Danio rerio: one gene and its partners. The protein of the gene in region 1 interacts with the protein of each later gene in a biochemical or structural test. Links are inferred from orthologs where the notes say so. Each region holds a gene or a part of one and is shown in the gene's direction. Other genes may lie near its edges.

Region 1 (3,656 bases):
CGGGAATTAATTTCATTGTTTGTCTATTTTTTTTTTACAGAGATAATTCAGAAGGTGCGGAATGGCCAGAAACCATACTTTAGGCCCACTACAGACAACAGCCGGCACTGTGAAGAGCTGACCATCTTAATGGAAGGCTGTTGGTCTGAAGATCCTGCAGAAAGACCCGACTTCAGCCATATTAAGGTCTTCATTGCAAAATTTAACAAGTAAGCACTTAAACTGATTATATTTACATTTGTGCCTTTTAATAGTTTGTCCAACAAGTCTATAAAATATAGTCATTTTATTAGTGTATTATAGTATGCAAAAAAGTTTACGAAACAGATTTTCAAAAATTTTAATTAAATTTTTTTTTTACAATTTTAAGTCATTTTAATTAAATGAAAAATATTTGTGCTATTTTTAATGCATAGAAAAGCTGTAGCTAGGACTTTACATGCTACAGAAGGGAAATTGAATAGTATTTTAATAGTCAAATCTAAAATAAAACACTGGTGTTTTCCATATGAATTAATACAGAAAATTTGTAATGGTACAAAAGTGATTCAGAAGTGAGCTGTTTGTTTGTCTTTTGGTGTTTAATTAGTTGATAACGTGGATTTTAGGTTTTGTCAGAAAGTGACCAAATCCACTGTCAAGCCAACATCCTAAACCAACGTCATAGTGACGTCATATACTGACATTTATTCATCAGGTATGGCAACCAAAATCCAACGTCTGGTAGATTTCATATTGGTAACGTCCAAACAAAGTCAAGCTGTAACATCATTAGACGTTGATATTTTGTTGCTTTTAGGTTGCGATGGAAAGCAAACACACGTTTGGGGCACAACGTGAAACTGATGTCATGTTGACATCCTGTGCCTGCTGGGGGTAAATTGAATAAACGAAACTGTCCCTAGTGTATGAGTGTGTGTGTGTGAATGAGTGGTTTTGGGTGTTTCCCAATATTGGGTTGCAACTAAAAGGGCAATTATATGCTGGAATAGTTAATCGTTCATTTTACTGTGATGACCTCTAAAATAGAGAATAAGCCGAAGGAAAATGAATGAATGAATGAATGACTTATATATTATAGGTATAGGCTACTGTCACTTTAAGAATGAATGTGTACATTTTGTTCAGCAGTCAAAAGCATGCATTTTCTGTTCATGTTCATTCAAGACATAACTGACAAAAAGTGAATACTAACAAGATATGCTTTTTGAAGTAATTATTTGTTTATTTAGAAAAAAAAATTGATAGCATGCTTGAATAAGCAAGTCTTAAAATTGATTGGAAACTTTATTTCATCTTTATTTCTCTAGCGCTTTTACAATGTAGATTGTGTCAAAGCAGCTTAACATAGAAGATTATAGTAAATTGAAACTGTCAGTTCAGTTTTCAAAATTTCAGTTCAGAGTAGTTCAGTTCAGTGTGGGTTAATTAACCCAGAAACTTTATTGACAAAGCACCAAATGGCTGCATTGGGCAAGTGATAATTACTTTGACAGCATTCAGCTCTGTTAAGATGCATTATGCTGATTCATTTATGCTGTTTGTGAAGGCGCAGAGCATTTTCAAATTCTCCTTTGATATGTGGATTCATTTACTCATTCATCCTTCATGCCATAGTGAATATATATTTGTGGGCATTTATGCCTTTAGCAGATCCCTTGCTGACATTTAAGCCCTGGCAGGCAGTAATTACTGCACACCTTTTAAAGAAATGAAAACAAAGCACACCATAACAAGTAATTGCACATACACTTACATTTTCTGTTCACAAAGGTTTTGGGAGCATCAGTTTTTAGTCTTGCTTTTATTTACATTTTTAAGATAAGATTATTCTGATTGTTGAAAGTTCTGCAGATGTTTAAATGATGGATATCAACATCTTTATTGAAATTATGGAACATGTTCTATATCTAAAAGACCAACAATGTTTGTTTTAACTGACATTTATTGATGCTAAAGTAAGCATCATGAATTAACAGATTAACAGTCATTGAACACAAAATCATTAATATAGATTATATTCTTTATATTGTGGTAATGGTTACTGATGATGATTAACAGAACACGTAAGAGGTATTACCATATTCTGGCTACACAGAGAATACAAGCTAAGATTTTTTCGTAGCACTTTACAATAAGGTTGTATTAGTTAATACACTTACTAACATGAACAAATAATAAAGGTGATGCAGTGGCGCAGTAGGTAGTGCTGTCGCCTCACAGCAAAAAGGTTGTTGGGTCGCTGGTTCGAACCCTGGCTCAGTTGGCATTTCTGTGTGAAGTTTGCATGTTCTCCCTGCGTTTGTGTGGATTTCCTCCGGGTGCTCCGGTTTCCCCCACAGTCCAAAGACATGTGGTACAGGTGAATTGAGTAGGCTAAATTGTCCATAGTGTATGAGTGTGTGTGTGTGTGTGTGTGTGTGTGTGTGTGTGTGTGTGTGTAGATATTTCCCAGAAATGGGTTGTGGCTGGAAGGGCATCCGCTGCGTAAAAACATGCTAGATAAGTTGGCAGTTCATTCCCCTGTGGAAGGTGGATGTGCACATTGAGATGCAGGGATAATGGTTCACACGAGTTGTTCATAACGCGAAGATTCATTCACAAATGAAATGCTTCCTGCGTTAGAATTAAAAAAGCAGGAGAGGGTGTGTGTTTCAGGACACAGATTAAATTTAATAGGTAGAGAGGATAATACATTTCCATGCACACAAACACATGCTTTTTGTCAGCAATGCCCATGCAATCACTTGTCCATCGATATAGAAAAGTGATGTAAAATGATCATTTTCGTAATAACAAAAAAATATTTACATACTGATCTCCAATCATAGATATATGTATACATGTGTATATATCTCTGGCTCCGGATAGCCAGTCTGCCACTGCACCTTGGTCCCATAGTCATTTCAAAGGAGCGATACCCTGTACTAAAATGGCGGCTCTATTGACGCATTCCTTCCAATAGACAACAATAGTGTACTTCATGTTAGTAAATACATTAATGAGCATTAACTAATAAAAACCTTATTTTAAAGTGTTTTAAAGGTTAGAGAATCAAAATTTTACATTTTTTTTGTTGCATGAAACACACTTTTTAGCACATTAGCATGAAATACAACACTTTATTTAAAAAACAAGCTCACTATTTTTACGAGAAACTAACTAAAATCACTAATTGCCAACTGCATTTATGAGCTCAACAGAATTTGTACGATTGTTATAATTGTAAATGTGTTTAAATGTAATGGCACAATGTGACTAATCATAAGTTTTCACTTATATTCAATAGAAGAAGCTGTAATGGGCCGACTTACTGATTTACTGATTTGATTTTCTGATTTCTACATTTCTATCTTAATGCAAAATAATAATAACATGTAAAGCATTTTGTAAAAATGATTTTGAAACGATTGGTTTCTCAAAATTATGAATGAACTATTTTGTTTTTAAAACTAAATGTTTACTGATTTGACAGCTCGACTGCTCCATGATTAAAGGTGGGGGACACATTTGCACAGATGTAATAATTACATTTAATTTGACATTTTTAGACACTCACCATACAAAATATGATAGAGGAATTATGTTGCATATATTGTAGAGGTATCATTTACACTTCTAGTTATTTATTTCGGGGTCGTCAGATTTCCCAGGGC
Region 2 (4,400 bases), on another chromosome or scaffold:
AATTAAAATGAATATACAATTAGTAATTTATTAAATAATAGGTTATGAAATAAATAAATAAACATTTTAGAACATTTAGAAACATTAAAAGGATCAAATAATATAAGATATAGCATAAAAAAATAAAAATAGAAATATTACAACATTATTGTACCATTAGAACAGTGTTTAAGATCCACGTGCAGTTTATTATGAATTTTTCAGACAGGCAATGGTCAACAGGTACAAAAAATATCATGAGGGTAATTCAGAAGTGTAGTCGAGGTCACAGGCAAAGAGGTCAGTGCAGGCGGCAAACAGCATAAACAATTAAACAAGGCAATGATCAAAAAGCAAGGCTTGACAGGAATAACGCTTGCAAATGTTTTTAGAGAAACAAGACTCAGCAAAGAATATTTGTGAATGAGATGTTTTATAGTCTGAGTAGGGAGAGCACTGAAAAGAACTGAAACTGATGTTTACCAATTGAGCATCGTGCCAATGCCACAGCCTACTGAGTATTGTTGCTGACCATGTCCATCCCTTTATTACCACAGTGTACCCATCTTCTGATGGCTGCTTTCAGCAAAAAAACGCGCCATGTCACAAATCATCTCAGACTGGGGTTTCTTGAAGATGACAATGAGTTCACTGTACTCAAATGACCTCCACAGTCACCAGACCTCAATCCAATAGAGCATCCTTGGGATGTGGTGGAACAGGAGATTCAAATGCATGGATGTGCAGCTGACAAATCAGCAGCAACTACGTGATGCTATCATGTCAATATGGACCTTGTTAAATCCATGCCACGAAGGATTAAGGCGATTCTGAAGCAAAAGGGGGTTCAACCCGGTAATAGTAAGGTGTACCTAATAAAGTGGCCGGTCAGTGTATCTCTATATATTATTTATTAAACCTATATTATTTCAAACTACTAAAATGTCAATAAAATGCACTTTGTTAAACTGTAAAGTTTAATTTTCAACATTGAAAGAGATCAACATCCCATAATACAATTCACAACCGTTTATAAACAGAAAATACAGAAAACCTATAATAAACAGGTTTTTTTTTATACAGTGTCGTAACAGTGTAGTAAAATATTATGTGCGGTCATCATGCCAACAACACAAGAAATCAGTCAGATAAAACCTCTCCAATAAACATATTTTACATATAGTCCACAAAGTCATCCCTTCAGTCTGCATCATTGGCCTATATATAGGATTGCGGTCTGCTTTAACCCCTTATGGTATACTCAGTTGTAGTTTGTATCTGATGCCGGAAGCATGTGAGCCACTCGTGTGCAGCGGATTCATTCCCCATGATGCCTGAGGTCACTGTTTGTGTCCGAGTTACCAGGACTTCTCCAGGCCTGCGAAAAACAGCCACTTAAAAGGAAATCTGCCCCAGCAAGCGTTATCACAGACGAGGTGTCGGAATGCACTTCACACGCTTTACCACGGATGAGCCACTGACAGCCAACTGTCCCTATATAAGAGCCAAGCCAGTTCAGAGGGCAAGAAAACGCATTCAGAGACACTCAGAGATGGCCGGGGGACTAATTCTGACAGGACTGCTGCTCCTGGTTTGGCAGCAGACGGATGTACAAGCGCACACGTTGAGCAGACACAGCTCTGACAGCAACATGGCCAAGCTCAAGGTATTTGGGTTTATGTTTAACCAATTCAATGTGAGGTAAACAGTCAGTGCTCTTAAAAGTTAGTGGTTTTTCGTCACTGAAACAACTTCTTTTACAACGTTTTGTACAGTTGAAGTTTTCTGTTGATGTTGAAGGTTCTTTATGTGACTTTCAATATCGAAAAAATAAGAAGTAAAATTATTAGATACTCTTAAAAGGTCATTGGCAGCATGTTTACATAAAGAATCTTTAACATTCATGGAAACTTTCCAATTCTCCAAAAGTATTGTGATTCACCTATTAACAACTTCCGTTGGACAAATGGTTCTTATTGTGCGAGGGATTTTTATATGCACAGTCATTTTTCAAATCTTTATGACACACAAGGCTTTTAGTTAAAAATGATTGCAAATTACTTATGCACATTTTCTATTAGACAAAAGGTTCTTATAGTATACAAAAAAGTACTTAGATGCACCTGTGGAACAACATTCCATTGGGCAAAAGATTCTTAGTGGAAACACAATCTTTAGATTCACCTATGGAAATTTTCCATTGGACAAATAGTTCTTATTGTGAGAAAAAAATATTGGATGCACCTATGGAAATTTTACATTGGACAAAAAGTTCTTATAGTAGAATTTTTCAGATGCATATATGTAATTGTTCCACTGGACAAAAGGTTTTTATAATTGAAAATAAAATCTTTACATGCATCTACGGAACTTTCCATTAGACAAAAGGTTCTTATAGTGGAAAGAACATCTTTAGATTTACCTATGGACATTTTTTATTTTGGACAAATGGTTCTTATTTTTAGAAACATTTTTTTTTAGATGCACCTATGGAAATTTTCCTCTGAAAAAAAAGTTCTTATAGTAGAAAGAAAAAATACTTAGATGCACCAATGGAACTATCCATTAGACATCATTCCAATGGAACATTCCATTGGATAAAAGGTTCTTATAATGGTAAAAGAAATCTTTACAAGGACCTATGGAACTCAGCATTTAACAAACAGTTCTTATTGTGGAAAAAATATTGGATGCGCTTATGGAAATTTTACATTGGACAAAATAGATTTTTACATATAGCGGGAACATTTTATTTAATTCAAAAGCTTCTTATTGTGTGCTTTTTTTTTTTTTGCACCTATAATAATATTCCATTGGACAAAAGATCCTTATAATGGAACAAAAAATATCTTTACATGCACCTATGAAACTTTCCATTAGACAAAAGCTTCTTATAGTGGGAAAAAAAATCTTTAGACTCTTCTATAGTTTTCTACTAAACAAATGGTTCCTTTTGTTGGAAACATTCTTTTTAGATATGCCTATGGAAACTTTCCATTAGACCAAAGGTCCTCATAGTGGAAAAAAACCTATAGGTTCACCTATGGACTTTTTGTATTGGACAAATGATTCTTATTTTTGGAAACATTCTTTTTAGATGCACCAATGGAAATTTTCCGTTAGCCAAAAGGTTCTTATAGTTAAAGAATATTTAAATGCATAAATGAAAATGTTTCACTTGACAAACGTTCTTATATTGAAAAAAATCTTTACATGCATCTGGAACTTTGCATTAGACAAAAGGCTCTTACAGTGGAAAAAAAAATCTTTAGATTCACTTATGGACGTTTTCCATTGAACACATGGTTCTTATTGCTGGAAACATTCTTTTTAGATACACCCATAGAAATTTTACATTGAAAAAAGGGTTCCTATAGCAAAAAAAAATATTTAGATCCATATATGGAAATGTTTTACTGGACAAAAGGTTCTTAAAGTGAAAAAAAAAACTTGTATATGTACCTATGGAATTTTTTATTAGACAAAAGGTTCTCATAATAGGGAAAAAATCTTTACATGGATCCATGGAACTTTAGATTCACCTATATGGAAATTTTCCATTGGACAAATGGTTCTTATTGTGAGAACATATATTGGATGCACCTATGGAAATTTTCTATTGGAAAAAAGGTTTATATAAAGTGGAAACAAAATTATTTAGTTGCACATATTAAAATTTTTCCTTAAACAAAAGGTTCTTATTCTGGAATTTTTTTTGTTGCACTTATTGAACTTTCTATCAGACAAAAGTTCTTATAGTGGACAAATATCTTTAGATTCACCTTAGGAAATGTTCAATTGGGAAAAAAAAAGGTTTTTATAGAGGAAAAACACTTCGCAAATACCTATGGAATTTTCCATTGGACAAAATGTTCTTTAAAAAATTTTTTGATTTACTTTTTGAAATATTCCATTGCATAAATGGTTCTTATAGTGGAAAAAAAGGTTCTTTAAATTCTCGAAATGTTGTTCATGCTATGGAAAAAGGGTTCTTTTCGCAGTTGTCTACTGAAAAGTTCTTTTGGAAAGCAAAAATGGTTCATCATAGCAAAAAAAAAAAAGAAAAAAAAAGAAGGTTGAGTTGTATTGGAGCATTTATTAATGGTATTTTTAAATGATCTTGGGATTCAATATATAAAAGGTACAATATATAAAGGTCAAGGTCATCTGCGCACCACTTTTGTCCAAAGTTGATTCCAAGAGTTTAGGATTAGATTATTGCTTGACACTATTAGCAAGTTTGGCATGCTGTCCTGGGAGAGAACCATAAACTTGGGAATAATTGAGCCCAGGGATCCCGGCAAATCTTTAAGCATGTAAGGGGGTCCGAGATCAGGTAAGTCTTGAGAGCTCCTCGCGGTAAAGAAGGAAAAGAAAGCGATGGGGTGGAAGAAGGGATTCTTCCAAAACAAAGATAAAGC
Region 3 (4,375 bases), on another chromosome or scaffold:
TAAAAATTCTAAAAGACGTGGATGAAAAGACATATTAGGATAAGTGTTGCAATAAAACATTATTTACTTCAATATTCATTTATTTTTATTCATTTTTTATTAATTTTTAAAAGTTTTAAAAGTTATTTTAATTAATTTTGGATAGATGGATGGATGGACGGATGGATGGACGGGCAGATGGATGGATGGATGGATGGATGGATGGATGGACGGATGGATGGATGGATGGACGGACAGATGGATGGGCGGATGGATGGATGGATGGATGGACGGACAGATGGATGGGCGGATGGATGGACGGACAGACGGATGGATGGACAGATGGATGGATGGGCAGATGGATGGATGGATGGATGGATGGATGGATGGATGGATGGACGGACAGACGGATGGGTGGATGGATGGATGGATGGATGGACGAACGGACGGACGGACGGATGGATGGATGAATGGATGGATGAATGGATGGATGTATAAATGGATGGGCAGATGGATGGGTGGACAGACGGGCAGATGGATGGATGGATGGATGGATGGATGGATGGATGGATGGACGAACGGACAGACGGATGGATAGATGGATGGACAGACGGATGGATGGATGGATGTATGAATGGATGGGCAGATGGATGGGTGGACAGACGGGCAGATGGATGGATGGATGGATGGATGGATGGATGGATGGATGGATGGATGGATGGATGGACGGACGGATAGATAGATTTTACTATAGTATTGTTCTGAATCATTCGCGCGGTTTGTAAGCTGTTTAGGACTTCTTATGGCATTAAAACAGAGAGGTTTAATCAACAAAATGTCAAATCAACATCTTTTTCTACTTCTCTTCAGACCAAAGAAAAAAACAGACTTTGTTATATAAACACTGTCGTATTTACTATAAAATAAATTAATGCGGTTTGTAAGCAGTTTTAGACTTCTTGTGGCATTAAAACAGTGATTTCATGATATTTTTCTATTTCTCCGAACAGACGGGAAAATACACTTTACTATGATGTGATTAAAAACACTGTAGTACTGTGATTTCCACGTGGGACATGAGCACGTTTAGACTTCGTATGGCATTAAAACAGAGTGTTTTAATTAACTACATGACGAACATCTTTTTTCATACAACAAAAGTTTGATTGTTCAAGTGTCCGCAGTGATTCATCAGTTATCATGAATGAATTCACGTCTGATTGTAGTTTCCCCACCTGTAGCTTCTCAAACAGTGACTAAAAAACCTAAACATCCATCTCAGATCTCCTCAAAGACACGGCGCCGGTCACTGATACGACGGCCGGTAACTTATTATGACGCAGAGACCTGGAGAAACTGCCAAAGGGGTTTTTTTTTTAAAGGGAGGCGGGTAACTGGTGTGACGTCACAGGAGTGATGTCATATCGCCTATAAAAACCCTGAGCAGAATTTTCTTAGAGTAAAGAGTAGAGCTGGACACCTCTGGGAGTAAATGAAGGGCGTGCTTTCTTCAAGACGACATTAAAGCAGCTTTTCTTTTTAACACTGACCCAGAATCAGCATCTCCATCACCATGATCATCTCGCATTTGCTGGCTTGTGGACTTATTCTGACTCTCCTTTCAGTCAGCACGACAGAGACTAAACCTCTGACACAGGCTGAACAGAGGGTGAGTTTGATGCCGACAGGTGCTTGTTTCCTATCGATTATTTAGGCGGTGTAATTATTTGAGGTAAAGTTGGCTTTATTGACGTTCGATAAAAGTGTGAATGAGATTATTTTTAAAAGGCAAATACAGAATGATTATTAAAGTGTCATGAGCACAACTTATTTTTTATTATAATCGCATGTAGCCTATGACTTAAAATCAACATTGCCGCTATTTAATTTAATTTATTGTGCGTGAATTGAGGTTGGTTTTATATTCGCACATAAGATGTTAAAGAAGAATTTTAAAAACTAATACAGATTAATTAATGACATGCTGTTATGAGCAGATGGTGCCAACTTATTTTCTTTCCACAACTTTGAATATTCGGTCTGAAATCGCATGTAAGTAGGCGACTTAAAATTGCTAATTATTTTAGGAATGTGAACTTAAATAGTCATTGGCTGCTAATATAATTTCCCTGTTTAGAGTTTGCTTTTCTGAAACTATATTTCGAAGAATTATGTCTGAATGTGCGAATATAAAACCTCAAAGGTGTGATTTCTGCTTTCTTTGTTTGCCGATAATAGGTGGGCTTTTTATATAGGCTAAAAGTTTTTAAGTAGCTGATAGCTCTATTAAAAGACGCGTCGGTGAAAATAAGCCATGATATGTGTAAAACTGTGAGTTTTTAAATAAACTAATATAATTTTGAGGTCGAAATGTACACGTCCATTATCCTCATCTTCGGGAACTCCCAAAAGCGACACTTGTTCTCACGACGCAATGTTTTTTAAGAAAACATTTTCATTCATTTTAAAGATTTGCTTTTGACATTATATTAACAGCCTCTTGCTTAAAAAAGTACTCTATAAATACATAAATTGACTGTTTTAAATTAAATCAGGTTTGTTTAGGAATCGGATTGCGCATCAACTCATAAATCTGACAACTATTCAATTAAGACCAAATATAAACGCTGACAGTTGCATGAAAGACCGCTTTTCTGGGGGAAAAGAAGATAAACGGAGTTTTCTAGGATTTAACATCTGTATTTTATCAAATTCTTCCAGCATATAATGATTTGATTGATTTATTTGTGATTGTTTCTCCTCATAACGCCAAACAAACACAAATTAGGCGATGCTTAAGACAAATATTGGCGCGATCTGTGTTAATTCTCCGATTCTATCTAATTAATGATAATTTCAACATAAAAACAAGTACTAATAATATAACATACAGTTAATCAGTTTTAAACATGTCACCTGTTGCCACTATGCACTTGCATATTAAAAGGTAAATGAGCTGTCAGCTTAATCAAAAGCTGCATGTTTGCACCGAAATGGTCTGTATTGGTATTTTAAAGGTACAAATTAGAACTAAAAGTGTAATTTTACTTACCTAAAAAGTACCTTTTATTAATTAGCTATACCCAGCGACAGCTTTGTATCTTTATTTCTGAGACTGTACTTAAAAAAAGGACCAAATAAAATAAATTGTTGTTAAAATTATTAAATAATAGACTTTGATGACAGTAATGCGAAGAACTGAAATTACGGTTTCATTAATATTACTCTTATTACTAGTTTTTAATAGCTGAAAGAATTTTTAATTAGATGATATTACAACTAAGTTCATGTTTTGTCATCTAAAATGTGTTTGATATAAAACTAATTTATTTAAAAGGTCTTGTTTAGTATGACTGAATTAGTTTATTTTAGTTTAGCCTATAGTGTCAGATCAGCTGGAAATACTGCTTTAAAGCAGCAGTTTGGATTTTTATGATCATTATATTTGAATTTAATTTTAAGAAAGGATAAATTGGATTATCAACAAACTTCTACTCTGTCCAAATGTTTAGTACTAATTCTCAAAAAAGCCATTTAGGTTTAGCAAAGTTTGTTTAACAACCGTGTTCTACACAGATTCCAGCTTCAAATACTCCAAATATGTGACAAGTAACATTTTTACAGTATATAAATTGTTTAAAATATGTGTTATAAAGTATGTGTTCTGCACAGATGTGAGTATAGTGAGTACTAATGGTGAGTTCTGAGCTCTGAAACAAATCAAAATATGGGATGATTAAGGTTGCTGCAGTGTTTTTAATGACTTTAGAGTTTTATTAGCAGCGTGTTTGTGGTAGACTGCATTGAGTTCTGCACTAATGCAGAGTTTTTAATACTCCAAACACATGACATTTACATTCTGCATTGACTCTATAAACAATGCTGGGTTGTTTTACCCCGGGTTAAAAACTGTTGCTTAAAATTGATTGGGAAAAAGGAACCCAAATGTTGGGTCAAATAGGGACAAACCCAACCGTTGGTATCTAAAAGTGTTGTTTAAATTGTATTGAACAATTGTTGGGTCAAAAAAAATGGACAAACCACTGGGTTAAAATAGATATTTAAATTTAATTGAAAAATAAATCCAGCATTTGGTCAAATTTGGACAAAAGAAACAATTGGGTTAAAAAGTGTCATTTAAATGTATTTGGAAAAAATGAACCTATTGTTGGGTCAAAATTAACCCAGTTTTGGCTCAAATATGGAAAGACCCAACTGTTGGTATTTAAAAGTGTTGTTTAAATTAAATAAAAATAATAATAACCCAATCATTGGTATCTAAAAGTGTTGTTAAAATTGTGTTGAAAAAAACCTTTGGGTTTGGGTCGAATATGGGTCGAATACATTGGGTCGAATATGGACAAACCATGAGGTTAAAATAGTTATTTAAAATTAA

What was found.
Region 2: the proteins of npr2 (region 1) and nppa form a complex in vitro, tested with the Homo sapiens proteins (3 studies listed by BioGRID). The link is inferred for Danio rerio from reciprocal best matches to the Homo sapiens genes NPR2 and NPPA.
Region 3: the proteins of npr2 (region 1) and nppc form a complex in vitro, tested with the Homo sapiens proteins (3 studies listed by BioGRID). The link is inferred for Danio rerio from reciprocal best matches to the Homo sapiens genes NPR2 and NPPC.

Annotation. Positions count from the first base shown.
Region 1 is NC_133180.1:59,952,797-59,956,452, forward strand, and holds part of npr2 (atrial natriuretic peptide receptor 2), read left to right. Parts: intron 1-40; coding exon 41-209; intron 210-3,656. UniProt on the Homo sapiens protein: Receptor for the C-type natriuretic peptide NPPC/CNP hormone. Has guanylate cyclase activity upon binding of its ligand. May play a role in the regulation of skeletal growth.
Region 2 is NC_133183.1:58,370,560-58,374,959, forward strand, and holds the start of nppa (natriuretic peptides A precursor), read left to right. Parts: upstream 1-1,493; 5' UTR 1,494-1,531; coding exon 1,532-1,645; intron 1,646-4,400.
Region 3 is NC_133197.1:40,812,230-40,816,604, reverse strand, and holds the start of nppc (C-type natriuretic peptide precursor), read left to right. Parts: upstream 1-1,438; 5' UTR 1,439-1,552; coding exon 1,553-1,648; intron 1,649-4,375.